2 linked regions of the Drosophila melanogaster genome follow. The protein of the gene in region 1 interacts with the protein of each later gene in a pairwise test. Each region holds a gene or a part of one and is shown on either strand. Other genes may lie near its edges. The genes, in order: Frq1 and CG7518.

Region 1 (15,572 bases):
CTACCAGATATCTGGATATCTGGCTATCTACGTACGCGGAAAATGTCTGCACCTTTGCGTATTTTGATTGATGCTCGGCGAACGAAAACAAAAACAAATCGAAATGGGGTAAATGCCAATCGAAGGAAAATGGTAAATGAGTTTTGGGGCAGCAGGAGGAGGAAAAAATGAAAAAAAAAATAATGAAGAGCGAGGGCATAAATGCCTGGGCAAAACAAACAAACAAACAAATAAATAAATAAGAAAACGGAATTATTACAAGGTAAATCAAAGGGCGGGGCAGGAAAAACACGCTGCAGACATTGTGGATGGAAAAATAATAAAATGAGCTAGATGTGGAATTGATATAGTGTTAGTATTAAGCGAGCTCAGTTCCCAAGGGTAAATGCCAATTTTTGTAAGCAATCCTGGCGATTAACGAAACAGTTGAGGTCCTTGATTTAAGGGGATAAGGTATAACAACATGAATTTATAAAGTGTTATTTAAGCTACCATTTAAAGGTGTGCCATTATATGTTATAATTGGGTAGTTTATTTTTATATTTACTCTGTGTCATTTGGATGCCATTTATATAGCTTTATATATATTAATTGAATTCATTGCGAAAATTAAAATTTATTATTAATATGCCACATGTGCTTTAATTAACTTTAATTAAATGTGCATTAAAATGGTAGGTTTATCTATTTTTTCATATTACTGCCTAAGTCTGCTGAAACGCACAGTCACTAGATAATTAAGTACTTTTGCTGCTGAAACGCACTGTACCACTAGTTAATTGAGTACTTATGCTGCTGAAATGCACTGTACCATTTGATATTTGAATATTGAGACATTTTAGTGTTGCGATTTACTTACAGTATGTGTCCGTTGTTAAGCGATCGATGGTATCCTGTTTCAACTTGGAGCTCTTTTTTCCCATGTTGTTCTCTTGTTGTGGCTCCCTAGTTGTTGTTGCTGTTGTTGTTCTACCTCTTGTTGTTGTTGTTGTTATTTGTTATTTGTTGTTGTTGCACTTGACTGCTATTGCTTTTTAGTGGCAAACTTTTTTGCGCTGCGCAAGTTCGTTTTACTTTGCAATTTTTGTAGTTGCTTTTGTTTCGGTTATTCAAAAGTTTGCCATAAGTATTTTAATATGCTTTATAATTTTGTTATAAAAAAAAAAAAAGTTAAATGCGAGGAAAGTAGGAAAGTGTGGTGCATAGTTCACGGCATATTTGCTGATATTAAATCTATATATATATATATATATATGTATATAGATTCATACATATATACGGGTTCAATTTTGTTGCATCTCAATAACGGACCAAGATAGTTTATAAAAAGTTCTGGCCGCACTTTTTTCCCAGCTCAATAACTTCTCGAGTGGCGCTTAAAAGGAGTGTGAATAGATCTTATGCGAAGGATGCTTCAAATTCAGTTGGATTTTCATTTTGGCCACCCACTCGCAGGAGGCTCATCCATCAAAAACCCATCGATAATCCCTCATGTGTCCTGTGTCTTTTGATTAAAAACTATTTTTACTTGGCTTTTCGTCGCTGTTCAATTAGTGATTTTCCACACAACAACAACAACGCCGCACTATGATTATAACGAGGCCAGAGGCGTGCCGAAAAAAGGGGCGCTTTTCCATGGGGTCGTTGTGTGTGTGTGTGTGTGTAGGTGGGTGGTGGGGCGATGTATTGAAAGGCATAAAAATACACAGAGCGACACTTTTCAGGTCAACTCTCGACTCGAACTTTTCATGACAGTTGGCAACAAAAAAAAAATCGTCTAGATGTGGGCGGAATGGGGGGGTGGGGGCAGGGACAGAGGGCGGAGGGCGGAGGGCGTGGCCCGCTGCAGAGGATGCAAACAAAAGCGCATAAAAAACTTAACCCTGTGTGTGCCAAAGGGGGTGGATGCGGGCTGGTGGGGGCGTTTTCCTCTGTTGCCTTCTGCGGTTGACGCGAATGGCATAAAAATAAGTTGCCTTTGTATTTTTTCTCCTCTCTGCCACCAGAGAAAAAGGAGAGCGAAGCGGTGGAAGGTGGCGAAGGGGGCTCCGTGGTATGCAATGAAATAAATTCTGTTAATTTCAGATGCAGTCCCGTCGAGATGTCGCATGCAAAGCGGTCGTATCAAGTGCAGCAACGAAATCAAAAACACTCAATCCCCGGGGAAAAGTCAGGAGCTGGTGGTAAACGTGACGGAACTGCTGTTCATCGCCAGATATCCGAGATGATCCCTTTCATCCTGACAGCACGAAACTTAATTTGTGCTCCGGAATTGTGTTCAAATCAAACCAATTGATCGAGGAAATCGCGGACCTTCTCAAGTGCTATTAGCTGATAGGATATATGCTTAAACCAACTAATTCCAATATAAAATATGAGGATTTACTTGAGGTTATGAGGCTGATAAGCTAATTAAATCAAACGTTCGTATACAAGCGAACGTATCTTTTCAAAAGAGTATCTTCATAAGAAAGTATCTTCAGATAGAGCAGATGACCTGTCCTTCGACCTATTCACCCATTAACTATGAGCAAAACTCTTCCATGTCAGGAGCCTTGGCATTAAGGGCCCGAAATGACTTTCATATCCCTTTCGCTGGATAACAAATATGGAGAGTTACTTGAGGTAATGGGGTCACCTGCTTTCGCTTTTAATGAACTCATTTTTATTGTTGGGCTGGGCACAATTATGTAAAGGCTGCCAGCCAGCAAAGAGAGAGGCCCTCCAATATCTTCGTTCAAGTCGTGTAAAATTCTTGTTGCTTTTGACTTTGTTTGTTTACAAAACTGTCGCACACAGAGGCACGCAAAGTGATACACCCACACACTCACTTTCCTACTCTCTCCCTTTCGCCCTCTCTCTTTCTCTCCTCTCTCTCTCTCTGTCTGCCCTGCGAACATGAGCCATTGGCATTTGCTAACTAAACACAGTTTGTTCCTCTGCGTGTGTGTGTGTGTGTGTGTGTTATCATGTCAGGTGTGCTGCCGCGTGAGTGTGTGTGTGGGTGAGTGCGTATCTGTGTGCGTTTGTCGCAGTGTTTCAGTTTCATTCTGTGTTGCCTTTTACAACGAGCGACGACGAGCTCAAATTTGTTCACACTAAAAATATTTTTACGTTTATTTCGTTCACAGCTGGCTGCTAATGCAGTGCCAACGAGCGGGATGGCACTATTTAGACAGGGATGCAGATAGCAGCAGGTCCTCGCTATCTACCTCTACACCCCCTCCCTTGCTGGCCCAAAAAAAAAAAAAAAAAAAAGTCCTGGCTTGTAACTCGACTCGTTTATCTGTCTGAATGTGTCCTTCTTCCCTGCTTCTCTCTGTCTATGTGTGGGTGTGTGCTTATTTTTCATACTGCCTGCAGTTGTTGTTGTTGTCTTGCCCGCCCCCGCCTCCTCCTTCATCAGCCACTCCCCCTCTTGAGCCAGCCGCCTCCTTTTTATCCTTCAGCTGCGTGTTCATCTCGCGTTTAGCCCGCGAGCATGCAACACTTTTCTCGCACTCATCTACACTTGCCAACAAAAGTGGGACCGAAAATGGGAAAAAGGGCGAAGAACTGCGCGCTGGAGGAATTGGAATGGAAATGGATGTGGATGTGGGCATGGCCAGGGGGATCGGGATCGGAACGCAGTGAATGGAACGGAGCGACGCGCAAACTTATTCGAATGAAATGGATTGTAAACGATACCCGAAAGCTGGGCTACACTGGCAAAAAAAAGCGAATAGTATATTCAAAATTGTAAGCAATTTCATTGAAAGCGGTGTCTTAAAGTAAAAGCAATGAAAAGGAAAGTCGCTGTGCACAAAAAGAAACCTATTAACTTGAGGTAAATTGTTTATAAAGTAAACAAACAAACATAGAAATAAATTATTGTATTTATTGATTAGCGATAGAAATTGTTGAGTGTTAAGCTTCCTAATTTTTAAAAGTTCAGAAAATCCCAAACTATTAATGCAAACCACCTTGTTTTATTCACAGTTTTGGTGGTGCAAGCAAAGTTTGTAGATTTCAAGGATTTTGTAGCTTTTATGCTTATTTTAAATCCAAACTGCAATTTGTTGGTTCCCGGGTGATTACCACCGTTTTAAGCACTTTAAGCACTTTGATTGGCGAACTGCAGAATTACCGATTTCTGGCTGTGTAGAAATGCAAATGAAGATTGAGCTGGCCGACGGCAGGAGGCAGGGAACCCAAGACGCGGAGCCCACAAAGGCGGGGCCGTCACCCCGCATTCACCACCACGCGGAGGTGGTAAATTAATTTTTACACCCACATTCAGCCACATTCAGGAATGGATGACAAGAACTTCATCCACTACCCCAAATATGGGGCGAATGTCTCGATGCAAACAATGCAGAATTCGAGAATTTCGAAGATTTCGATGAGCGGAAAAGGATCCCGAAGGTCCTGAAATGGCGGATGGCCAGATAGACATGGCGGTCGGACTGCAACCAGAGTGTCGAGGGATTGCCTAAATGTCAGTGAATACCTTAAGGCGATTGGATTAGGCCGGGCCAAGAGCGGCGGTTGCCAACTCATCTTGGCAATGGAAATTCCGCCGAGTATTTAATGTGGAATTCCTGGGAGAAAAGTGTGATTGGGTTTGCAGGGCTTAGCAAACTAAATGCGGCTATCACAATTGAAATATTCATGGCAACGGGCTAAGTGCATTTTAACATGAATTTCGAAATTAGCAAATCGGACAGATGCCAAAAATATTTTCGAGGCTGCTAACTGACAAGTAATTGAAATAGATGTACTGCGAATGTGAAAATTTATAATTGGTTTAATTTGTACATTATCACCATGAACTTAGCATTAATTTGGAAATTAGAAAAGCAGACTGAAACCAGGCCAACTGAATACCTAGAAAATGAAATAAATTTACTGAGAATATGGCAAGCTGGAAATTTTTAATTGGCTCAACTTGTTAGCATTTGAGCTATGCATTTAATACTCGGAAATTATTCAGATGCCAAACGAATACGAATTTAGTTGCTGAAATTCCAAAATTTTAACTAAGGAGTTATACTTTATTAATCAGAAAAGTTGGTCTTCATAGAAACTTATTAAGCTTATAAATTTATGGCCAAATAAATCTTTTTTAAATATTTCAAAAAGACAATAACAAATACAAGCACATTAAAATGAAAATATTTGTGTTTCAAAAACATCGAGTTTTGTGAAACCCCAAAGAAATGTAAGGACACATATTTAAACACGATAAAAGCAGTTAAAACCTTTAAACTTTAAAGGATCTTGAAGTCTATTTATGAGGAATATCTTAAAGAGTAACATCACTTTAAAATGGCTTACTATAATTGAATATAATTGAATAAACGTTTGAAATAGCATAACTGGGCATTTAGTGGCCACATCTTGCGGTATCAAATATCCCAGTTAGCAGATCATCAAATGGCGGCAGATTGCATCTATTAAGCCCGGACAGATTGGCCAATTTGGTTGCAAATGAGCGAGGCGGACGGATAAGATCCGTCCTCAATTCGGCTATTGCAGCTATTTTCGTGCCAATTCCGGAATTTGTGCGGACGTTTTGCCCATGGCCAATTAACAAATAATTGATGCAAATTAAAATGCATTTTGTAGCGCCGTGTTTCGATTTGTTCTCTCCCTTTATTTTGTCACTCGCAAAAAAAAAAAAAATGGAAAAGGATTGGGGGACGAAAAAAGAAACGAGGAAATGACACGCAAGGTGAGAGTTGGGGACTGCATTTGTGATTACGGACGGATTGTGTGCGGATGATTGCGGCCATTGATGGATGTTAGAGGGGAATGGAAGAGGTTGAGGGGCTGGGGATTTTGAGGTGCCTGCCCCCCAAGTGAAAAATGAGAAAACTGAGTCCTTGGAGGTTAAGTCTAAGCGTCGCGACACAAGTTCGCTGGGCTGGGAAACTTATTTTTGTTTACATAATCCTTCCACGTTGTCTCGCTGCCCAATCCCCTTTCGCCCCGCCTCACCGCCCCCGCGTTTATTTTATATATATATATATTTTTTTTTTTATTTAGCGGCAGCTGCTGGACCGCAAAACGTAAATTTGGGTCAAGTTTTGTAAGCATAACGAATGGCAGAACCAAAACCGAAACCAAAACTAAAAACCCCAACCAAACCGAAGGCATCCCATATGCATAAATGCGAAAGTAACCTTCGTCTTGCCCTCTCTTTCGCCTCTCAAGCTATCTCTTTCCCTGTCTGCCTGCGGGTGTGTGTGTGTGTGTGCGTGGGTGTGTGCGTGTGCGGATCCCTTTTGTGTAAATTAATCTTTGGCTGCCGCACAAAAGTATGCTACACAAATATAAATAAACACTTGATCCCTTTGTTGATTGTTTCTTTTTGTTTTTTGTTTTTTTGTTCTGCGGCACAACTAATGTTTTCATTTAATTTTCGCACTTTTGCTTACTTTTTTGTTTGTCGTATTTGTTTCGTTTTTATAATTTATTATTTTTGCTTTGTTTGCTTGACGTTCGTATTATTTAACCGAAAAAAAAATGTCAACTATTTTGCAGGATTGGAACTTGGAAAAAAAAGGAAAACAAACCAACTATTTAGGTAATGGCTTTATTTTGTTGTTATTGTTGGTTGTTTGTTGCTGCCACTGGCGGCTAATGTTGTTGTTGCCGTTGCTGTAGTTGTTGTCGATTTCCGTGGACCGGAGAGCGCGCTTTGTCCTTTTGTTGTTGTCGTTGCGAACCAGCGATTTGATTGTAAACTTAAAAACCTGCCGAGCTGCGTTGCGTTTGTTTGGCGGTCAAATCAGCGACTGAAAGCGCTCTGCACGCTCCACGGCGAACGGAATACGGAATATGGAATACGGCGGAATGTGCGGCAGTACGGCCAAACGGCTGGCTATATGTGTGTGCGCTATCAACAACTGAGAACTTTTTTGGTAACATTCTCAATGGGTCGTGGTGAGTTCGAGTTGGGCACCCCTTCTACCGCCCCCTTTCTGCCATCACTTCGCTTAACACACTACGGTACTCGCGACTCATAACTGACTTATATAACGCACACATATGCAGGCATTTCAGTGAACTCACCACTCGAAACGATGACGAAGGCGCAGGCACCGAAGCTTTTCACCACACTCACCCACTCACACGCTCGCTCTCCCGCTCTCTTCTCACGCGTCTCGTTGTGTGCGTGTTGAGGCGCCTCTGTGTGCGTGTTAAAAGCTGCAAGAACTTACAACAAAAAAACTCGAAGAGTTTAGCAGCTGCGGAGGACCAAAAAAAAAAAAAGAAATGTAAGAGGAGGAAAACCGAAAAGCCAGCGCAAAAATGGGCCAAAAACGGGGACCCCTCGTGAATATTGAACTCCATGGAAGCGAAAATGGCAAACCCGTGGACACCAGTTCTGCAGCGGGAGCCATCGACAATTACCAGAAGCTGGCAATGGTCTTAGATAAGAGCCCAAATCGCCAAAGAGCTGGGAAAAGTCGAACAAGAACTGGGACAATCAGCCAAGCAGTTAGCGATAAATTTCCCCCCACTTTGCAGCACACAGCGAAAATAACAGTACGGCCCAATGGAAAGCGACGATTTTCCTACAATCGAAAACATTTTCCAACATTTAGTCTTAAATTTAGTTTAGTTAACTTTTATTTATTGAAGTTTACCATCATCGTTGGGTTGCCTTTTGTTTATTGGCTTAATTGTTCAATTTAATAAAAGTAAATAACAATATAACAAACAAAAAAATAAAAGTTATTGTATTGTATTGCAATTAACCACAAGTAAAAGAAACTTGAGCAGATTATCCCAAAACCGAAGTTGCATTTTATTAAATTCTGCGATAAAATTAGCTTTTCATCATATTTTCATCTCCCTTTCATTATTAGCTTAAATACATAAATATTTAAACGTTTTAAGGTTAATTCGAATAGGTCGATTAATAAATTCGAAAATGCTAATAAAACGAAGTGTATTTTGTAGTTTACGACCCACATTTACCATTAAAAAATGCTGTGTTTATTCATTCAGATGGAAATGGTCGATTTATCACAATCCAAGGCAATTCCCAATGTTTTTCAGTTGCAATTAAAAAGAGATAGTTTTTTTTTTTTTTTTGAATCAGACGGATTTGTGTTTGCTTTTACTTCGTGTGTGTTTTTGTGTTAGAAAATATGTATGCAAATATATACATATATATAAGATCTTTAATGGCAATATACTTGAAAATACTTATATAAAATTATGATAATTTTCAGCGAACTTGCAACAATATAAAATTCTCAACGGTTTGAACATTCTTTCCAATTCTACGAATACTTCGCCTTTTTTCGCTCTGTGTAGCAGCAGCAGTTGACGGGGAAAAACTTTATCACCAGAGCGCTAGATACGCGAAATCCTAGAGGCGGGGGAAAGTGCGTACGAGCGACGGGCGCACCTCCAGAACGAGTCCTTCTCCCCCCAGACATCCGACCCCCCCCCCTCCTAAATTTTCTTCTTTTTTTTTAAGGATCCCTACGCTATGACGTGGCTGAGTAACAATCCGGCAATCCAACAAACGAACAAACAAACAAATACATGGCATAACACGATAATAATAAAAATACAAACATTTGCCATTGCGTGTCCCTCAATGACGTAACCCCCCCTGAAAACACACAGAAAGACAAAGACAAGTAGAGGTGGTATGGTGGTGGGTGGGGGGTGGGGTTTTGGAGTTGGGGTTGGGGCTTCAAGGCGCCCCAATGTGGACGGACAGGGAGGGGCCAGTGAAACCACATCCAAGTGGGTGGGCATTTTGCCGGTACGAAAAGCGCTAGTTGCTGGCTGAAAATTTACATTTTGCTATGTGCGCACAGTGCGGCACAAAAGTGTAAAAGTTACAAGTAACTTGTAACACAAAAGGGTATATATTGAATGTGTTTATTAGGATTTATTGAACTATAGTCAGATTTAACGTTCTGTATTTAAGGAGTGTATCTTAAATCCATCTTCTATGTAAAATTATAAGCAGTAAGTTAACCGTTTACTTTGTCGCACTGCCTTACAGCACCGCAACGCACTGTACTTACACACATCCCAGTGGCGGCGTGGCTTTTCCAGTTGTTGCCATGCCCGTTAATTGCCCAGCCAATGGCCGCATCAGTTTTTACGGCCCTCTGGAGGACCATGAGGTGTTAACCTCGGTAGCGAGACATCTGCGGATTCTCGCCGATCCATGGGCCAGTTCATTAAAGACGACTCTTCGGATCGTTGGTGGTGTGTGTGTGTGTGTGTGTAGTGTGTGTGCGCTGTACACAGTGGATGTGTGTTTATCCATTCGAATGGAATTGGGCAATTTATCAAAATCCCAAGCAAATCCAAATAATTTTCAGCTGCAATTAGACGAACTAAACTTTTATGAGTCAGACGCTTCCATGTTTGTTTTTACTTCTGTTTGTTTGTTATGAAATTTCGCAAAACCCCTAACCGAACCCCAACCCAATTTAGCCCCTGCCCAAGTGAAAATGAAAATTGAAATGGAAATGGGAATGGGAATGGGAATGGGAATATTTCTGCTCAGTTTATATGTCCAAGTTGAGTGCAGTGAAAGAAAACAAGCGGCAAACAAAACTCTTTGCCATCAATCAAATTTAGTTCTTTTTCGTTTCGTTTTTGCGTATTTTTGTTTTTTGTTGAACACAGTTTTCCATTTCCATTTCCGTTTTTCCAGTCGACTCGATTGCGTCAGAGACAGTTGAGGGAACTTAATTTTAAAGTTCCTAGAAGTTGCTAATCCTCAAGCTCATTCCTCTCTCCCTCACTCACTCTCTCTCTCTCTCTCTATCTAGCTTGCCTCGTCTTCTTGCCCCAAGATTCGGCCATATAAAAGAAAAAGAAAAAGAGAATAAAGCTGTGGAGGGAGCAGCAGAAGAAGACATTGCCGAGTTGTCGTAAGCGCTGACTAATCAGCGTCATTATCAAAAAAGCCACAAAAGCAGCAGCACAAAATATACAAGAACATGGAGGATTTTGCTCGGGATACATGCGGCAACATTTTGTGATTATCATTGCGCGGCGAAAGTGCTTTTTAATGTCGCCGAGCATTTTAAATAATTAGCTGATGCCGTGGCGGCATCCAGCTTCCCAGTCCCTTCTAAATGCTACATTTGTAATTAGTTTTGGACGGGGACTTTGTAGGGACTTGCTGGAACTGTCTTGGCTCTGCGGCGAAACCGACAAATAAAAGAGTTATTTTGCTAGCGATCCGCCTGCAGCGAGGTGACAAACCTAACGGGGCTAAGAGACAAACATCTAGAGACGAACAGCAGCGACAGATAGTCCACGTGTAGCGATAAGAGCCGCCCACATGGCGTATACGCAATGTTGCCCCTTTACGACTGCCAATGCCAGTTACTCTCTTGTTTTCCACATCCTGCGGTGGCCAAATTAATTTACGGTGGCTCTGAATCGAGGCCTAAGCACCAAGTGAAAATGGGAAAAAAGGTGCACAGCCCTCGACAAAAAAAAAAATAACAAAAAACATGAAATAATAATAAATAAATTCATTAACATAAAACACGAAGAACAACTTGGTGGATGGGGCAGGGTTGTAAGGGGGAGGGGATTGCAGGGTGGGGTGTGGGTGGAATTTGCGGGGGTGTCGGGCAGGAATGCGTGACGGCAGACGGAAGCCAGGACTCGCTCGTTACCTGCCTGGAGATTATCATCAGCGGATTGTTATTGTTTCGGGGATTTCCATTGTGTGCGTCCCTTACTTACTGTTTTTCCCTTCAGTTTTTTCCTGATTTTTTTTCAACTTTTTTCCATGGTTAGCATCGTTAGCGGCTCCCCCGAACCTGCGTGGCCCATTCATTTGCATAATTTTTTTATGCCACAATGGGTGTCGAGTGGCAGTTGTCCCCACTCAAGGGTTTCATCGATGGTCGGCAATGTTATCAAATATATATATATATGTATTGTACATAGAGGTATGCCTCTTTTTTTGTTGTGTGTGAGTTGTGTGTGTGCGCAGGGTTAAAACACTTTTATGCCTCATCAACGCAGTTTTACGCTCAATGGGCGCCGTCAACTTTTATTAATTGAGTTTTGTATGAAGTGACAAGGGGAATTGGGTTGAGTGCCAGCACTAGTGTAAAAAAAAAAAACCAGCGGACAAAGAGGAAAAAGCAGAAATAAAGTTTAGTTAAACGCAGAAAAACTTCTGTAAAAGTAACCAATAAAAAAGGGACTCTAAGTAGATTAAAATAAATGAACTGTACAAAAAACTGGGTAATTTAAGTGGAATTTATTTATATACAAACCTGCTGCATATATTCGAATAAATATAGCTAGCTGAAATACTTGGTCACTTAGGAACGCTTGACTGTACTCAATTATTCGACAGCTCAGAGGTCCATTGGGGAAACCAAGTCATTCCCAGCTGATTGAGCTGAGTGCGGCACCCACTTGGCCATAAATCAATGGAAGCCACTAAATCATTAGCCATAAATGGCCGCAGACCCGCATCATCGAAAAGTTTCAATTGGCCGAGAATTTTGGAATACTCGTAAGCCATGGCCAAGAGTGATTTCATGTGCGTTGAGCATAAAACCTTAACACTTTCCTTGATTGGACCCGGCAATGGCACAACAGTCGAGCCGCAGGCAGGGTCATGTTATGTACATAAATATATATACATACTATATGTATGTATGTACATATATGTGTATATTTAATATGTACGTGCATAGGGTCCACTTGCTCACACTCCAAATGCGGAAGTGGACAGCCACAAAATATGTGGCAAGAACCGCAGAAACTTTAACCATAACAAACTCCCTGCCGCAAAGGACGACGACTGCTTATCAATTGCCCATGAAAGTATGCTACGAAATTCCTGCTTGCTCCTGTGCGCTCTTGCGTGTGTGTTAGTGTGTGTGTGTATGTGTGTGTGAGATTTGCGATAGCGAGCTGAATTCATAAACAATATTCTACATGAATTGTTGCGCCCTTCGACACCGCCCCACCCACCACATTTCCTGTGTGTGCCTGCCACAATCGCCCTCTGAACGGCCTTTGCCTTTGTTTTGGATTTTGCAACTTCAGTTCGGGTAGCTTCAATAACATGATTAACTTGATGGTAAAACGAATCTCGGCAAATCGCCAGCGAAACTCTGACCAGTCTGTTGTAAGCAAGAACTGAATTAAAATCATTTGAAAAAGTTCTTTAAAAGGTTTTTGCAGATTGCCAACAGTATCAAGGATAGTGATAAGTGATAAGTATCTTTTTTTATTACCTGAAATTATACACTTATACTAAATATTAAGTTATTATTTTGCATAGTATTCCCAACAAAATAACTCACTTTAGAATACCTCGACACGGAACCTAAGATCAGTTGGAATTTTTTTGTGACTCCGCTATATGTTTATTTTTACCCTTGCAGCGATTTCCATATTTTCCTCCTGGCGACTTTTCCAGCTCCCAGTTTCTTGGCTCCGCCATTTTTTGCTGGAGGCAACCTGGTCGGGAGCAGATTCCGCCCAAACACCTCCGTGGATCCCCCGGTTGCTCAATATCTCTCTAGCTTCGGTTTTTCTCCCATTTTCCTGCTTTTCATTTCTCCATTTCCCCATTTTCCCATACCCCATCCCTGGCCCCAAACCCACTTTATGTAGCAGCACTAATGGCGCTTTATTATTGGCAAAGTTGCCTGGCCCCAGTTTACAGCATGTGGACATAGGGGTACGTGGTGGTGGGATGGGAGGAGCGGAGGTTTGGTGGGTTTTGGGGCAAATCGGGGGATATACATGTAGGAGCAGCAGTAGGTAAACGAGGGAAGGAAGCTGAGCAGCCGAGCAATGGATGCTTTTGGTTGAGCGGCAGCCAATTTATATGGAAATAGATGCGCGGCACATTTTCAATGCGGATTTTTCCTATCCCCGCCCGACTTCCCTATTCTTTCTCCTATCCCCCACCATCTCCCCCCCCCCCTCGTGAACCTCAAAAACTCCCTGGAGAATGTTGGACTAGCGGAGAGGTGGGGACAAAAATCGATGCCCCCCGGGAATGAGTATAAAAATGAGAATCTCAATCGTTGTGCCCGACACTGAGACTGAAGATTACTTTGGACCCGCAGCCCCAATCTTCGCCCCTCGAATCGCCAATTTTACGGGCCTTCCATTCTTTTCTTTAGCGCCTATGACCCGCCCAATTTCGGGACCACGCCCACATCCATTGTTTGGGCCGCATCATATTCGAACAAATTACGTGGCAAAAGGTCGTGCTGCCATGGGTCAAGCTCTTAAGCGGTAAAACGGTCAAATGTTCCAAGCCTATTCAATGGCGCAAATGTCTAAAAATAGAAATAGAAAAGCGTCGAAAAGCGTCGAAAAAACAAATGAAGTCTCGAAAAAGTAATGATGCTCAAGCTCAAGTCGAAGAGAGAAATACTCTGTTGGGTTTTTGAAAGCCAAACTTAATGTATTGGAAAATTTCTTATTTTAATAGCAAGCAGAAATCAAATCGTATCACATCTTATATTATTATATATCTAAAGTTTTTTATGATTTTAAATAAGGTACAATTGATTAAATAATATTCCCGTGGGCAATTCAAAATAAAAGCTTCAAATAGCTGATCTAAATTCTATTCTAGATAATTCCAATAATTTACATATGTGCTTATTACGACTGTCTAAGAAATTACTAGCTTACATAAGTCTATTATCAGCTGATTATAATTTAATAGAAAAAAGCCTATAATATTATGTTGTAATTAACTTTGAACTTTAGCTACCGACATATGCTCCGTGAAAGGTGACCACAAAAAACTAGGGGAAAACCGAATTACAGAGCGTACGTGCGTAGATTGCCTCAAGTTGATGGCACTCCTGCTGCACCTACTCGCTATCGGTGAGCCCACCAAATTGGTTTTCCTTTGGCCAGCAAATCGCAAAGGCAGCAAATTTTCCACTTTCACCCGCACTCTCGGCCGACTCTGGCTTTCTATTGATCAAATCAATTACACAATCATATGCCAAGCCAGCGGCACGCCTTGCCAACCGATATCGCATACCATGGATTCCCTCATCCTGCCAGCCAAACCAACCACCCAACACCCGCTGAGCGGCACTTGCCACCGTTCCATGCCATTCTGACACTTGCCACACGACTTTCAATCAAATCAACCGCGCCAACAATTACCCACACACGGACCACGCCCACGACTATCGACGGCCCAAATGCCGCCCCCAAGGAACGCATTTAGCCAAAGCAAATGAAGGTTAAGCCGGAAGAGGATGAGCCAGGGCCGAAGGATATTGGTGGCGGGAAGTTGGACGCAAAACTCGCACTAAATGGGTACTGATACCTATGTATATGAACCGATCTAGATTTACATATTCAGATATATTGATATTACTATCTAACTTGGCCAAACTTACGTATTGAATAACGTATAGTTTGAAAACACAACTCATACTATTCTAACTATTAATCTTGGCAAAAAAAAGTTAATTAAATAGTAAATAAATAAATCTCGTTTTAATTAAGTTGTAATATTAACAAAAATGCTGTCATATATAATACTATACAACTATAGGTTAATTTCAACGTCTCATTACAGTAGACAGTAATCTTATACATATTCTTAAATTATATAAATATTTAATTGATTCATTTCAAATCGAAGGCCATTGCAACCCTGGAATTCGCCAACAAAAAATAGCGATGTATTTGCTTTACTCAATTTTTGTCAAATTTTTAGCGTTGTTTTTCTGTTTTCAATGGATATATGTGTGTGTATTTGTGTGTGTGTATGGGGGTGCGTGTGTGCGTGGAGGGGGGGGGGGTGTTATGGAGTACCAAAGGGGCGACTGGCGTGGGTGCGAACATTTTAAATGAATTTTACGCTTGATTTTGGTTTCAATTTCGATTCCGTGAGCTGTCGCCGCTCGACTCAGGTGCATTTTCATTATACCCATTGCTCTTTGAATTAGAGGGTATACTCGATTCGCTGAAGAGTATGTAACAGGTGCATTTATCTTACTGAATGAACTTCTGGATCTTGGAATCTACTTATATTGAAAGTTCAGGTTTATTCAGTGAACTGTAACCACCGCTCTTTAGCAATCTTCCGATTAACGGGTATCTGATAGTCGAGAAACTCGACTGAAGCCCGTCCTCTTGTTTTCGTTTCCATTTTCGTTTTTGGAGGTGGGGGAGGTGAAAACTGGAAGGGGCTGGCGCTTCGGTTTGGATAGAGACGAATGTAGAAATGAGAAAACGAATTCAATGGGCCAACGAAAAGTTGCAGCAAATAAAAGTTGCAAGTGTTTGCCAGCAGGAACAGAGGAAGGCAGTGCCCATGGAAGCTGGTTGGAAGCAAAGTCAGGTAGTCAGGAACTAAATCTGTGACAAAAGTACATGGGTGGCGATGGCTCCATGTGGATGCGGAATGGGGGCTGCCATCCAGGCTTTAGTGTCGAAGGGGAGGAATACTCGGTCGGTTGGAGGCAAGTTTAAATTGAGTGACATTTTGCCGCAATTGACTGTGCCGAAAGTTTTGTGACTCCCCCGCGACCCTCCATTTCTACAATTTCTCCACGATTGTTGGCCAAACT
Region 2 (15,623 bases), on another chromosome or scaffold:
ACTACTTAAAGGACTTAGGTGTAGCGTTGAGGAACATATACAAAAGCAACCTATATATTTTTTGCAAAACTTTATATAAACTCGTACATATATATACAAATTGAATAGATATATATATATATATATATATAGATCTATATACACCATATGTATAGCTGACACTTTGAAGGGCTACCAAATTTACACCTCGAATTTGTTTAGATGCGGAAAAGTTATGAGAAATTTACAACATGAAATTCAAGTATTTTAGGTTAACATATACACGCGTAACCCTTACACACACAACTGTGCAACTTAGTATCCTTATGCAATATTGGAGTGCCTCTGATTTTGTTCATTGATGTTGTTTTCTTTCATGTTTTCATTTGTTTCGTGCGAAAAGACATACGCATCTGTCGTAACATATAAGATGTGATAAAAATGAGTACTCAAATTTAGGCAATTTTAAACGATACATATGTAAATGCTTTTTGATTTATTTTATTAATAAGTTTCCGTGTGTTATTTCGATAAACATATTACTTATGCGAAAAATTCATTAAAGCAATTCCACGCAAATCACTCACAAACTGTTCCCCTCTTGGCCAGCAATGTCGACTGCCTCCAGATTCGGAAATTGTACTTCTCCACATCCAGCTTGGAGTACACAAAGATGGGCATGGAGTTGGACATCACCCAAATGTATCCCTCCTCGTCGATCTAAAACAACAACGCACTTAACCTTCGTTTTCGTGTTACAAATAGAAAGGGATGAGCTTACGGTCAAATCGCTGGGATAAATCATCTCCGATGAATTGGAATAAACGGAGCCATGGTTTTCCGTTGAGAACGGCTTGCTGGTTTTCCAGCAGCCCACTCCACTCTTCTGGACCTCGGCAAAGAAAATCACCCCGGTCCGCGGATCGTATTTATGCATTGTGGACTGGGTGGACGGACCACGAGTTCCCAGAAGATGGAAGTCGTCTCCATGATCAGAACGTGCTGCATTGAATTCCTGCTGCAAGACCCTGTTGCTAACCACAAACTCATTCGTGCTGGCCATAGGATGGAAGAAGACATCCCTGCTGCCATCGGGCTTATATGATCCCAAGGTCGCCGAGAAAATCCCGTCGTCCCAGCGGAAGGTCTGCCCACCAATGTTGAGATTATCAGAAAGGGGATCAAAGTTAAAGAAGCTGTGCTCGAAGGACCAAATTCTATCGCTTCGCAGGTGATAGACGTGCAGTCTGCGATTGACCAAATCCGGAATGTAGGCATAGGCATCGTTGCACCTCCGAGCGCCCACATCGATTGTGATGCTGGCTAGTCCACGTCCGATCTCCACTATGCTCTGCGGAATCTCAAATCGTTTCAATAAGCGATCGTTAGCCAAATCGATCACCCAAATGCTAGGATGTCGAATCTGCTGGCGATTATCTGATGGTTATATAATATTATTTTAACCTGGATCACCTTGCCTATAAAGCAAATGATTATACTCACTGGGAAACTCCAGCATTCCGGTGTCGACGAACCAGAGACGCCCACAGACATCCACTGAGGTTCTATAGACAGACACTAGGTTCTGCTCGCTCGCATTATACTGATTCACCGCCAAGTTGGGATAGGCCCGTAGATGGGGACTCTGACTCCACCCATCCTTGGCCAGATCGATGTAGTTTAAGGTGGACGGAATGCCCGGCTGTCGCCGTGGCACGGTGACAAAGAGGCGTCCTCGAAAGTGGGTTACTCCTTGGGGCACGTTGTTGTATTGGATGAAGGATCCTGAGGATGAGGAGCCTAAGCACTTGCGGGAGTTGTAGAAATGCGAATCTTTGTCGAACGAATAATTGTGATATATATACATATTATTCGTTATAAAAGTGACGATAAAATGGTGATTAAAATAATATTCATATTACAACCATTTCATAATGTTTTGTGGAAAAACTTAGTGATTCACCGACATTTGCTGATGTTTGAAATTGAACATATTTCAATTGGATATTTTTGGAGTTACCTGGAATGCAGATCCTGTTCCACAAATCCTTATAGCCATCGCCGCGATTGTAAAAGTCCAACTGCTTCCACTTGAAGACCTCAATCATGGGATCTCCATCTGCAGAGATTAGCAATTGGAACCCTGAGATTGCGCACAGGAGCAGAACGTCCAGCGATAACATTTTATAAAATTCCGGTCGTTCGCCTTTCCTGGCTGAAAACCCACTTGTGACTGACTGACTCCTCAGCTTGGGTTCAACTGAGTTAAACGTGCTCTGCGACTCAAAAATGAGCTCAGAATGTAAAGTGATAAGAGCAGTCACTGGGATTCCCAAGCTCTTATTTTCCATGTCTCTTTATTCAACTTTTAAGATTTGTTGATAATCTGAAGAGTATATTTGTAAAGCTAACTATTTATTCGAAAATTTCGTCATTCTTACTTATGTATGTATTTTTAATTAAGTAACAAATTCAACAGGAATTCCACACGAATCACTCACAAACTGTGCCCCTCTTGGCCAGTGAAGCCTTCTGCTTCCAAATCCGGAAATTGTATATACTCGTGTCCAGTGTGGAGTAGATGAAGATGGGCATGGAGTTGGACATGACCCAAATGGTGCCATCCTCGTCAATCTGCAATAGTAAGATGAGATGTATAACTTTTTTTCTTCAACTTTTTTATCCAAAACCATTTGCTTACCGACAAGTCGCTGGGATAAATCATATCCTCGGCATTGGAATCCACAGAGCCATAGTTTTCCGCCGAGATGGGCTTGCTGGTCTTCCAGCAGCCCACTCCGTTGCGCTGGATCTCATCGAAGAAGATCACCCCAGTCCCAGGATCGTAAGCGTGCATCGTAGACTGGGTGGACGGACCACGGCTTCCGAGTACCCGGAAATCGTTCCCATGATCGGAACGTGCGGCGTTGGATTCCTGCTGCAGAACCCGGTTGGAGACCACAAACTCATTCGTACTGGCCATGGGATGGAAGTAGGCATCGCGGCTCCCATCCAGTTTCTGGGCCCCCAAAGTTATTGAGAAGATGCCATCGTCCCAGCGGAAGGTCTGGCCGCCAATGCTGAGATCCCCGGACAGCGGATCGAAGTTGAAGTAGTTGTGCTCGAAGGACCAGATTCTATCGTTTCGCAGGTGATAGACGTACAGGCGCCGGTACACCAGATCCGGAATATAGGCGTAGGCATCGCCACACTGACCCGCCTTCACATCCACGGTGATGCTGGCCAATCCGCGACCCGTCTCAGCTATACTCTCCGGAACATCGAAGCGCTTCAGCACCTGATCCGTGGCCAAGTCAACTACCCAAATGCTGGGACGGCGGATCTGTTGGCGGTTATCTGGATATGAGAATCATGATTGAGTTTTTTATATTCTTGGTCACCAAATTAGATTAATACGGATCGATCCTGATCTTTTATATTACATGTCAATACATGCCAACTCACTTGGATACTCCAGCATTCCCGTGTCGATAAACCAGAGACGCTGGCATGCATCCACGGAGGTTCTGTAGACGGACACCAGATTCTCCGCACTCGCGTTGAACTGATTAAGCGCAAAGTTGGGATAGGCCCGCAGCTTGGGGCTGCGATTCGATCCGTCCTCGGCCAGATCGATGTAATTCAAGGTGGATGGGATGCCCACCCGTCGACGAGGCATCGTGACAAAGAGGCGGCCGCGGAAGTGAGTGGCTCCCATGGGCACGTTATTGTACGGAATGTAGGAGGCGTTGGGGTCGTCGCTGTCGGCGCGGGAGCTGACCACTACCGGTGTATCGCGGGAGGTCATAATCTTACGCTTTCGACGAGAATACTTTCCAGGAAAGACAACCGGAGCTAGTTGAACAATAAAAAAATAGTACATAAGTAAATACCAATAAATCTATCTAACAAGGCTCGCGAGATTGCTATTGCTGAATGAGAACTAGTAATATCATATTATGAGTACTAACCTGAAAAGCTGGGCCTGTCTTTCCTTCCGCCCGAGCTTAGATGGCCATCTCCGCGATTGTAAAAGTCCATCTGCTTCCATCGGAAGACCTCTATCATGGGATCAGCATCTGCCAAGGAAAGCAGCTGTAACCCTGAGATTAAACTTAGAATCAAAAATTGGGGCGATAACATTGCTCGGTTTTCCTGGGGAACTATAATCTAAGTTCGCCTTGCCAAGTTGAGGCCTCAATAGCGACTGAAAGCCAATTTGTTCCCAATTGGAATCTATTCTCACAGCGGTTCGAACGCAAATTATTAAAATTGATAAGAAAAGCGCGACTCTCACAAGTTCTCAAACCGGTTTTGTGACTTGTTAGCCTGATAATAATCGTTAGTAAAAATCTAATTATTTACATACAAATGGAATTATAAACAGCTTTCAGCTTTTCTTTCTTTTTATGTTGTATACATATATAAATCAATCACAAAAACATGAGAAGAACATTTAGTTGTAAGAAACGTTACGCTATTCGTTTATGAAAGCATTGCTGTTCTAGCAATATATTCTCTAGCAATTAATAATAATTAACCCAAAAATATAAATTTAATGCATAATTTCTAAACTTAGAAAACTAAAGCAACAAATTTCGCGCCAAAAGACTTAACGGCGATTTATTAAATTAATCAAATCACTACCAACAATCGATAAGAGGTATCGATATACAAAGCTGTTGTGTAAATCGTAATTTATTTAGCGTAAACAGTGTAAATAGCAATATGCGCTATAATCTGTTAGCCAGTTCGTTAAAATTGCTGAATAGCACGAAAACCCACAATTTGTTCTTGGTGAACGTGCGCAGCTTGACCGGCGCCGCCCACACCAACGATGCAGTGGCTCCGACCACGCGCCCACCGCCCGCAGAATCGAGGAATCCCGGAGAGGAGCAACGATCACTGCACATCGCGGTAATTGGAGTGCCCAATGTGGGAAAGAGCACGTTCATCAACAACACGGTGAACCACCGAGTGTGTCCCACCTCGGCCAAGGTGCACACCACTCGGCAGTCGAACACGGCCATTTACACCACCGGCCAGACGCAGTTGGTCTTTTACGATACGCCGGGCCTGGTCACGCAACATGAGATTCGTCGGCACCACCTGGACCAGAACTTTAAGAGTGCCTACCGCCATGCCATACAGCATGCGGACATCATCGCCGTGGTGCACGATGCCTCAAATGCCTGGACTAGGAAGGAACTGCATCCCACTGTCTTGGATACGCTGAAGGCGTATAGCAACCTGCCCAGTTTCCTGGTGCTGAATAAGATAGACGCCCTGAAGTCGAAGCGTTTGCTGTTGGATCTGATCAAGACACTCACCAACGACACCTTGACAGTTGGCAAGCGGGAAGTCCAGGCAAAAAGTGCTCTCGCCAAGGAAATAAGAATCAACAAGCGGGAGTCTAGCTGGAGCCATTTTAGCGACGTGTTTCTTGTTTCCGCCTTGACCGGCAATGGGCTGCAGGAGATGCAGAACTACCTGGTGGGCCAGGCTAAGCCCAGGGATTGGAAATACCCAGCTGACATTCATACGGACTCCAGCCCAGAAGCATTAATTGTGGAGAGTGTGCGGGCTCGTCTGCTGGACTACTTGCCGCAGGAGATACCCTACAACCTTAAGTGCGAGATCGAGTACTACAGTGTGGAAAAAAGTGAGTACTTCTGTACACTCGTAAAGAAATCCTTTTCAATTCCGATTTTCTTTGCAGATGTTGTCTACACATCCGTGCAGGTTCAGTGCCCCACCACGCGAATCGAGCGCCTAATCTGTGGCGAGGGTAATGGCAAGCTGCGGCAGATCACGGAGCGAGTTACATCAGACCTGGTGGAGATGTTCGGCCAAGCAGTGTCCCTTACTATATCTACAGTTTCCAAGGGCAAGAAGACCGCCGCTTGAGCACTTGTTGATTACTTGTACTTTATTTGTAACGTTGCATAAACCTAAGAGTTCACAAAAGCTTCAAATGCGCCACCAATTTGTCTAGATCTTCGGCAGGGGCTGGACCCAGTCCGAGGACCGTTGCTGTCCCAGATTCCAGCTGAGTGCGCCCGGCATCCCTCACCAAGGCGGCCACCACGTTCGACTCTTGGGCCTGTCGCTCCAGGGAGTTTAGCTGCTCGAAGTTGTCCACGCGCAGCACTATCTTCGGCTGTCCCAGGCGACACCAACGCTGCAGAATGGCGTTCTGCAGCTTGGTTCCCTGCACAGAGCTCTGGTAGCACATGACCGCCGCATGGGCGCACTGGGCCGCTGTCTTTCCCTTGGACATCTTTAGGTCGGTTCGGACCACCAGCGCCAGTTTGGTGGACTTGCCGAAGGCCAAACCGTTGCTGAGGAACTTCTGCAGGATGCTACTTGACGTGGGCATACTTCTGGCTCTGCTGCTCCACGTACTTCTGCATGCACGCCCGGAACTCTTTCACCTTCTCCTGGCAAGCCCTCCAGTCGCCCGTCTCGGCGATACACTCCTGCACCTTGTAGTGAAGCTCTATGCAGCCGGTCTTCTTCAGCATTAGTTCCACGGGATCCTGGTCCGTCGATGCGGACATTTTCTTCTCCACTTCGCCGGCTGAATTCGTTCGTTTCGAAATTACGAAATTCGGTCAGGGTTGTCAACACATCGAAGGGACACGGATATATTCTGTACGACATTTGGCCCACTATCGAATTGAAAGAATTTACTGTAAAATATATTTTCTTGCATTATAAATGTGTTTATTCCATAGACAGAATAGGAAATTTTTAGATCTTTGGGACCTTTTTCTGTATAAATACATGATGATTTGTTTTACCTACAATATATGTTGAAAAAAGTATATGAAACATACATTCCTATGGTTTTACAATTTTTGTATGGCTTAAAATGCTTTTTTAACATTTCCCAAATCAAATTTTTAAGAACGCATTAGTATAGTTTTCTAAGAATGGACCACACAGAAGTAAAGTAAAGCTCATATAAATAAAAGTTTGTGTTTGTTCTTTGGGATAGATGTAGAAAACTTTTCGGCCAAACAAGTGTGCACGGGGTATGACCATTTATTCGTGACTCTTGCGCGGCGTTGCGGTAATTTGAGCGAAGGCCGCCACGGGCACACCGATGCGAATGCAATCAACGAGAAACGAGCGAATTGCAACGAGCAGGCGAAAAATCACAAAAAGCGGAAAATCACAACAATCGTGGGTGCAAACGAAACGGAAACTGCGAGGCAACGGAAAGTCGGGTCCCGGAAAATCCAAACGGATGGCCCTGCAGTGAAACGCTGATGAAAGCAGAGGCGCACTTGGCGCGATTCGAGGGGCAAAGCGCGTTGCGTTGTGCTGCTCTGCGTTCTTTTCCAAAACCGATTTCGATTCCAAAAACCAAACCAATCCAATACCCACACTTATACACTTGCACACCGACACACCAGCGCACACACACAGACACGCGCGCGCATACAGTGAGCGAGTGAAAGTGCATCTACATCTGTGATTTCGTATATAATAATGCGTCGCGCATACGCGGATTTGGCCAGCAGAAGCACCAAAGACTAACAAGTGATCCGGAGCCGGGGACTGACTGAGTTGGCTGGGCTCATTGACCCATCCACCGCGTGAAAGCCCCGCCAGAAATGGCCGATCAGGTGGCGCACACCAAAGAAACGGATGCAGATGAGCCGCTGGTCAATGGCGAACTGCCAATGGAGGAGGCGCCGCCTTCCTGCTGCCATGTGATGTCTCTGTCCTCCATGGACGTAGATGTAGATGCGGATGCGGAGGGCGATGTGGATGCCACAGCGTCCTCCTCCTGCGTCGCCACCGCTTCCCAGCTGAATCCGTCGCCACCGCCTGCTGGTGTCCAACAGGCGAAGCCGGCGCGGAGCAGCTCACCGCCATGCCAGCTCCTGGAGCGGCTCAGCTTTCCCGACGGCAACATCATCAACACGCTGCACACGATCCTCGCCCTGCCTCCTTTTGATCCTTATGCCCCCGCCCCCAAAGCGGAGACGGTCTACAAGGAGGTCGTATCGCTGATGCAGTGGAGCCAGCGGGAAGACAACGCCATCGAACTGGAGCTCAGCGACAAGCTGCTGCACGAGTGCGAGCACAAGGGCGGCGATCCCAACGATGAGACGCGATCGTATTTGGTGGGTTCCCAGAAGCTGCCCGAAAGCTGTGGAGATCGATTTCATTTCATGTATTTTTTTTATTTAAATGTACTATTAAAGATGTGTGTGGGATTTTTTTATATTATACCTACATTTAGATTGGATTTAATGAGTTATCAAATCAAATGGGATAGAAATTATCTTATTAGATCGACTTTAGATGTTTCGAAATACTTAAACATGATTTTTTTTGGTTTAAAGAACACTTATTTGAAATTATGCTTTAGAATATTGATAGGTGCAATCATACCAAATACATTATATTTGAGAATATAAAGCTTTCTCAGTAAATACTCACTATCGTTCACCTTCTTTTCAGATGGCCATTGAGAACATGCGCCTGTTCTCTGAGGATCCAAAGAATCCGCTTCGTGACGCCGACGGACAGCTGCGTGCAATTACGGTGTGTTTGCTTGAAAGGATTAAGATGTATAACGAAACGTACTCCTAATCCATTGTAGCTATATTTCCAGAATCTTGCCTTCATATTTGTGAAACACCGGAAGGAGGAGTTCTTCACATTTTGTTCCTGCAAGGAATGTCTCGAATACCGCGAAACCATCATGGCCATCATGATGGATCAATTTAAGGCTGCGCACATGGTGGTCATGTTGCTAGACGTACTGATCAAGGCCTACAGTCCCATGTTGAAGTAAGAACAGTCTGCAAAACTGCAATAAGAAAAAGTCTCCTAAGTCAGTTGGTAATCATTTAAACATCTCTGTTCCAGAAACGATGCTGCCTACAATAAGTTTGAGAAACTGCTTGAGTGCAACAAGGAGATCTATTGGATTACGAGCGGTTACCTCTACGATAAAAATGCCGAATATCTTGATTTTATTGATGATACAGCGATCTCCGACAATATGATATTAGTGCTATTCAGCGCCATGTAAGTGAACACCCCAGTCCTGCATTTGTTTACTTTAAACGCATTATCTGTTCACAGATTAATGGCTAACAATCCGATGCTGCTGCTACAAATACTCGCCTATAATGTTGAATGCATTGTGAAAGCGTTTTCCGAGGGCATGATCGAAATTGCCCAAAATATTCAGGAAAACGAGAAGATTTCGGCAGAAAGGATGCTGACATGTAAGGGAATTCTCAAATGATAGCTAACTAAATAAATAAGGGGCATATTCTTCTCTTAAGTACATAAATTTAGTGACTAGGAGGAATTTATCTTTTAACTCGAACTGGTTTCATAGGGAAAATCCACTTACATATAAACTCAATGAATCACTCTTGTTTTTTAACCCTGTGTAGACATTCTGGACGGCTACTCTGATCTGAATTGCATCTCGCAGAAGATCTCGCTCAGCCTGTTTGCGTTTGAGAACGATTTCCTGCGAAAGTTCAGGCTGTCGTGGGTTCTTCTATGCCAGCGCCTTTTCCAGCAGCATGTATTCACACCCCTGGGTGATACCATGCTGGCCTGCATCCTGTCGTTGAAGGAGGTGGCTCCATCGGCCCAGACGACGGCGCTGATTAAGCGGTACATGCTGTTCGACGAGCACATGCACTCCATTGAGCGGCGCTGGACGGACATCTGGATCGAGCTAAATAAGTTTAACTTGTCGCCAACGGAGCACGAGCGCCGGATGGGCCTGCTCGATGTGTACAACATATTCGACAAGGTCGTCCTGGACGCCACATCTTTTTCGCTGCCGGATATCAGCGACGATGAGTTTATAGACTTCCAGCGCATCGTCGATCGCCAGCTGGCCTGGAAGAATATCATGGCCTTCACGAAGCTGAAGTGGCCCGATGGCTTCTACGATCCGCCCAATAAGCTGGTGCACGAGGATCTCTGCAAGAAGTGCAATTCACTTCTCGAGCACCATAACGAGTAAGTAGATTGGGTAGATTGTGCACCCAATCTGAAATTTTACAAAATAATAAATAATATAAATTAAAATTTTAAAATTATTTTTATCATTATGTACCATATCAGGAACTGCAAATGCATCACTTGCTCCATCGCCGGCACTCCTTTGCGACCACGACAAGCGGGCCATTGTGCCAAGTGCACAACGCTCGGCATTGTCGAGAAGGATCCGAAGCTGATGAAGTCCAAGATCCTTAGCACCTGCACCAGTGATGAGGCCAAGCACAATGCGGCCATAGCGGCTACTACGAGCTCCTCCACCTCCACCGCCCAGCAACAGCGACGCACTAGCGATCTGCCAGAGGATGAGTCACCAACAGGCAGCGGCAGCAGTGGATCGGTGTTCCGCCGCCAGGCAGAGACGTCCGATACCCTGCGCACCACATATCACATCGCATGGGCGGTATTCCAGCACCTGGCCACCAGGAAGCGCTATCGCCACGAAACCATCGAACCGCAGTTCATCTGCGGTGAGAATTGCCGCGTTTCCGCTTGCCAGCTGGCTAGAAAGATCCTGTCCAACCAGCTGTCGCCGCTGCTGACCAAATATCTGCTGCGCTGCTTCCAGCCGCTGTCGTTTACGCGGGAGGAGCTGCGCTCCACGATTCCATCGCTGATGTTCTTCAATCGGAAGCTGGCGCCTAGTCCCGCCGAGCTGCAGGAGCTGCGAAACCAGCACTATGTGTACAAAACATACTGGACCTTCGTGCTCTCCATCTACGCCAACTTCTTTGTAAAATTCAACTCGAGCAGCACGGATTTCGGTCACCTGGAGCTAATCAAGGGCGATCTGCGCCTGCGGCTAAACAGCGTAGTTGGCGACAAGGAGGACAATCGGTTTGAGCAGTTTCTGGCTCAAGTTATTGGGTAAGTTTTCTCACCTAAATTGTTTCCAACGTGGATGTTTCTTAATAGGCTTTCTTTTCCTCATCGCAGATACTCACCTTTCAAAGTCACTGATGAGTAAGTATTGAAGACCAAATGTTTTGACCAAACATAAACTTAACCAAGGCAGTCCTCCATTTTTCTTTTTTGACACGTGCCATTTTGACATTTGCGGACATGTTTTTATTAGGGACCATCTACACCACAAGCATGCAAACAGGGTTGCCATTGCAAAATACTGCAGGAGTTAAAAAATAATAATAAGCCTGTAAAGTTGTTCGATTATGTGTATAATTAATTAATTTTTAATTATGCTTTTAAAAGGTAATAATCTAGCACTTGGCAGTTAATAGTGTTTTTTTTATGATCTGTCCTAAGTGGACAATAATTAAATGTTGTATATTCACTTAAGCAATACAATCAGTAGTTGTGGGGTGAACATTCTCTTGGGGGGTGTGCCAGTTAAGATATGTCTTTTATTATTCAGCCAGGATGGCACTTGCATTAACATCTTGACAATATCGGCTATCGATTACTGATAATTTGGATCCTTACCTTTGCATATCGTTATCCTCTCTAAGAGACCTGTCAATTAAATCGTGACAATTCAGATTCTAGCAGGCTTCTGTTTGGCACGCCAGAAATATTAAGATTTTAAAAACGAGAGTGAATAAGAAAGGACTTGAGTTGTACTGTTGTGATTCTAAAATTAATTATAATTATCATTGCAGTTTTACTTTGGGTGATGCCAACATAGAGAAGTTGCAATTTGGAGTGGATCAGCTAATGATGTTGCACGACTCTCAGATAATGTAAGTTCTAAATTATAGCAATCATTAAATCATTAACTTATGAGATTATGTTTCATTGCAGAAAACGCACTAAACCAGATAGCACTACTGGCTTATCGGGTGCCAAATCCAAGTTAGGGGAATCGAACGTGCCCCAGTCCGGAGGCAAAAATGGCGAAGCTGGCGGCAACAAGAAGAGCAAGGAGAAGATGCGAAAATGTGAGGAGCTATGATTCAGATTTCTGCTAAGATATTAAGGACGTGTTTTTTATAACCTCTAGGCTGTTCTGACTACGCGGACATTGGGGAGCCCTGCAAGGAGAATCATTCAAAGAAACGGGTCAAAAAGGAGTGCAATCATGCGCGCTTCAATGAGACGCGCGATCGGCTGCGTAAGAAGCTCTCCCAGATCGTCAACGAGCGTAAGACCAAGTCCACGGAGGAGACCACGCCATCGAAGACCAAATGCAGCAAGCCGGAGCCAGTTGCTGTCCCCGCACCGGCAGCCATCCCACCGAAGCGGCCGCCATCACCCTTCAATCCGCCAAAGTTACCAGCAGTGTTGGCTGTGGCGGCTCTCGACCGAATTTGCCGCGAGGAGCACGAGGACGACAGTCTACTGCGTCTGGACAGCCTCTGCAAGAGCCTGCAGAGGCACACGGATGCCACAGACGCCTCGGCTGCGGCTGCTGCTCTGGCCGCTTTCAAGCACGGTAGCGGCTTTCCAGCGGACTACAGCAAAGAGGACATGATGCAGGACTTTGCTGAGTTCCTGGGTACCTATACCTATACCCGTGAACAGGACCAACAGCGCTGGATCAATGAGACGCTCAACTTTATCGAGGGCAAGTCCCAGCAGCCGCACACCGCGAATCCCAAGAAAGCAGCCAAGAAAGCCAAGCAAAAGATGCGCAAGGAGGAGGAGAAACGTATTAAGGAACTGGAGGATCTGCGCTGCCAGTTTCTGGACATCTATTTCAAGGAGTTCATTGACAAGTATGAGATGAAGACCTTGACGGCTGCAGGCGGCCGGAAAAAGGAGAAGAAGCGCATCGGCGAGCTGGAGACGAACATTAAAAACCTTCAGCGGGCAAAGGCTAAAGTGGAGACAGTGATCCTCGAACTTATTGCCACCGTCAAGCAGACGAACAGCGAGTTCAAGTTCTCCTACTTGCCTACCAAGCAACAGCAGCTGGCCAAGATGGCCCAGCTGGAAGAGATCCTGAACGGGGGCCCGACCACTGCCACTGCCGAACCTGTTAGACAGGAGCCTCCACAGCAGTCTGCGCCGCAATATCCCGAGTTCAGTAGTAACGCCTCCTTTTACCATCCACCAGGACTCGGGCAGCAGAACACGCCCGTATGCTTCGCACCACCCCAGCAGTCCCAACATCCGCCTCAACTGTCTCGCGATGTGATCGCCGCCATGGCGGCCAGCTCCATCACTGCCGATCCCTCCAAGCGCATTGTGACAATACGGCGGGTGCAGCTGCCTCATCCGGGCGCCGAGCAGCAGGTGACTGTAGTGGCCAAAGGCAGTGCTCCGCACGAGGACAAACTGCTCTACACTTTTGTCAACGGGCATATGGTGGCTTCAGGTCCGATACAGCCAGAGGAAATGGCTCCTCGACAGGCAACGGTTCCGGCTCCAGCGCCCAGTGTTCCTGAAAAGAGTGCCAAGGCCAAGAAGAAAGAGGCTAAGCGAGCTGCCGCGGCGGCAGCAGCAGAAGCAGCAGCTGCGGCCGAGGCAGCTGCAGCGGCAGCAGCAGAAGCTGCGGCGGAGCAAAAAGCCAAGCTAAAGAACAAGAAGCAGGCGAAGAAGACAGCCGTGGCTGTGGCCACCGCCTCCAGTTCCACAGCGAGCAGCAACTCCTCAAAGTCGCAGACGCCGCAGAGTACGCGCGAAAGCTCGGTGTGCAGTGTTAAGCCAAAGACTGTACCCAAGAAGCCGACTTCCAAGCCACCCAAAGTTGTAGAAGTGACACCACCACCGCCTGTTCCCGAACCGGAACCGGAGCCACCCAAGAGGCAGAAACGCTTGAAGTCGAGACTGGATCCTGGACAGTTGGACAACAATCCGTGGAAGGCGCTGCACATGCAAGATTCGTCGGAGGGAGAGTGGGAAACTGGTAGTGAGTCAGACGAAGGAGTCCCAACACCAGCGCAGCCACCAATAAGGCAGCAGCCCAAACTGCCAGCTGCTCCGGCTCCCAAGCCCGTTGCACCGTCAGTGGTCACAAAGGCGAAGCCGGCTCCAGCCGCAGTTGCAGCACCTGCCAAAAAGGTGAAGCAACAGGAAGCACCGGCCCACCAAAAGCAACCAGCTGCCAAGACTCAGGCACAGCCTAAGAGCAAATCGACGTTTGCTTCCGTGGGCAAGTCCAATCCGCCGCAACAGCAGCAGCAACAGTATCAGCAGGAAAAGGTGCCGCCTACCAAGAGCCAGCAGCAGCGTCCAGCGGAATCATCCAGGAAGCAGAAGCAGGCTCCTGGCAATCTCGAATCCAATCGCAGCGCTCCGAATCAGCGCTGTGAGCATTTGCAGACGCAACAGGCGCCTCGCAGTGGACGGGTCAATGGTCGAACAAAGCCCACGCCTGGAGGTCAACAGCAGCCCGTGCAGCAGCACTCCAACGCTCATGCGGCGGAATCCATTGCTCCGCCAAAGAAGTCGCAGCGTGGAAAGCGCGGACATCGCCAGAAGCAGGGTAAGTTCAAGTTCAACCATTCATTGGTAAACCTAGAACGCTATTATTACTTATTTTATGATTCCCTGCAGAGGATCTCTCTGGCATTCCACACAACATGGGCTATTTCAATCCCAACGAAATTGCCATACCGCCGCAGTCGGGAAGCTATGCCAGCACTCTGGCTCAGCAGCTGCAGCATTTGCGCATCAGCCAGCCAGGAGGTAGTTCCAACTCGAAGGAGGCATCCCAGTCGCCCAACTGCAGCATTATGGACCAGCTGAACCGCGGTGTACAGGTGGAACACCTTTCCCTACCGCCTGGCATCACCCTCACCAAGGTGGATCCGGCTAAAAGCGAGCAGTTACGCCAGAAAAGTGAGTCCATCCGTTTGCTGTCCAAGCCACTGGCCGAGCAACAGCAGCAGCAGCATCACTTCCAGCAGCAGTCTCACCTCCTGGCCGGCTACTATGGAGCAGCCGGTGCCGCTGGCATGGATCCCAACGGTGTAATCATGGTGGAGGCCAACCCACGGCCCAATCGCAGCCAAGCTCCAGTTGCACCACCCAATGTGGCTGCAGCGGCCTCCGCAGCGAGCGCCAACGGAAAAGCCTCTAGGCGTCGTCGTCGCAATCGTGGAAAGTCTGGTGGCGGGAGCGGCGGAAACCCAGGCAGCTCGGGGGCGGCCAACAAGCAACGAACGGGAGGAGAAGGCGGCGGATCAGCAGCAGGAGCGGCTGATGGCCAGATATTGGCTAACTCGCCAGCCACTGCGGCCACCATTGAAGCTAACGCCAGTGGTAATATTATCACGCTGCGCAATCCCATGTTCCATCAGGGCAATGGGCCAGTGGCCGGCGGAGGCATGATGCCGCCCAATCCCAATCCAATGCCGCCAGGTGAGTGGTTCTTCTACTTGTCGCAATTTCATATACGATAATAACCAACATATATTAACTATTCGTTGCAGTGCGCAGCTTTGGCGCCGGACTTCCGGTTCCTCCAGCCATGTCCTTGGATCAGCCTGCCGCAATCATCAAGAACGAGAACGGCATGTTTACCATACGCAATCCGGCGCTTCACCAGGCTGTGACCAATGGCCTGGCCATGGGAGGCTATCGCCAGTTCGGTGGCAATGTCAACTATTACACGCCCCAAGAGGCTGTGGCGGAAGCGGCACGAGCCGCCCAGCAAAAGCTGCAGCAGCAGCAGCAGGCCGGTAGTGCGGCCC

What was found.
Region 2: the proteins of Frq1 (region 1) and CG7518 interact in a two-hybrid assay, tested with the Drosophila melanogaster proteins (one large-scale study listed by BioGRID).

Annotation. Positions count from the first base shown.
Region 1 is NC_004354.4:18,146,580-18,162,151, reverse strand, and holds the start of Frq1 (frequenin 1), read right to left. Parts: upstream 6,784-15,572; 5' UTR 6,420-6,783; intron 1,140-6,419; exon of another isoform or gene 1,094-1,139; 5' UTR 924-1,093; coding exon 860-923; intron 1-859. UniProt on the Drosophila melanogaster protein: Ca(2+)-dependent modulation of synaptic efficacy. Also plays a role in axon terminal morphology.
Region 2 is NT_033777.3:12,990,984-13,006,606, forward strand, and holds the start of CG7518 (uncharacterized protein), read left to right. Parts: upstream 1-7,105; 5' UTR 7,106-7,601; coding exon 7,602-8,117; intron 8,118-8,457; coding exon 8,458-8,541; intron 8,542-8,599; coding exon 8,600-8,790; intron 8,791-8,868; coding exon 8,869-9,030; intron 9,031-9,087; coding exon 9,088-9,233; intron 9,234-9,407; coding exon 9,408-9,990; intron 9,991-10,095; coding exon 10,096-10,896; intron 10,897-10,965; coding exon 10,966-10,992; intron 10,993-11,645; coding exon 11,646-11,726; intron 11,727-11,787; coding exon 11,788-11,924; intron 11,925-11,986; coding exon 11,987-14,413; intron 14,414-14,484; coding exon 14,485-15,291; intron 15,292-15,362; coding exon 15,363-15,623. Other genes in the region: yellow-f, read right to left, coding at 559-699, 761-1,416, 1,483-1,812, 2,000-2,162; yellow-f2, read right to left, coding at 2,473-2,613, 2,681-3,336, 3,445-3,834, 3,951-4,122; CG7488 (uncharacterized protein), read left to right, coding at 4,708-5,641, 5,699-5,886; CG17327 (uncharacterized protein), read right to left, coding at 5,939-6,358; CG44194 (uncharacterized protein), read right to left, coding at 6,342-6,539.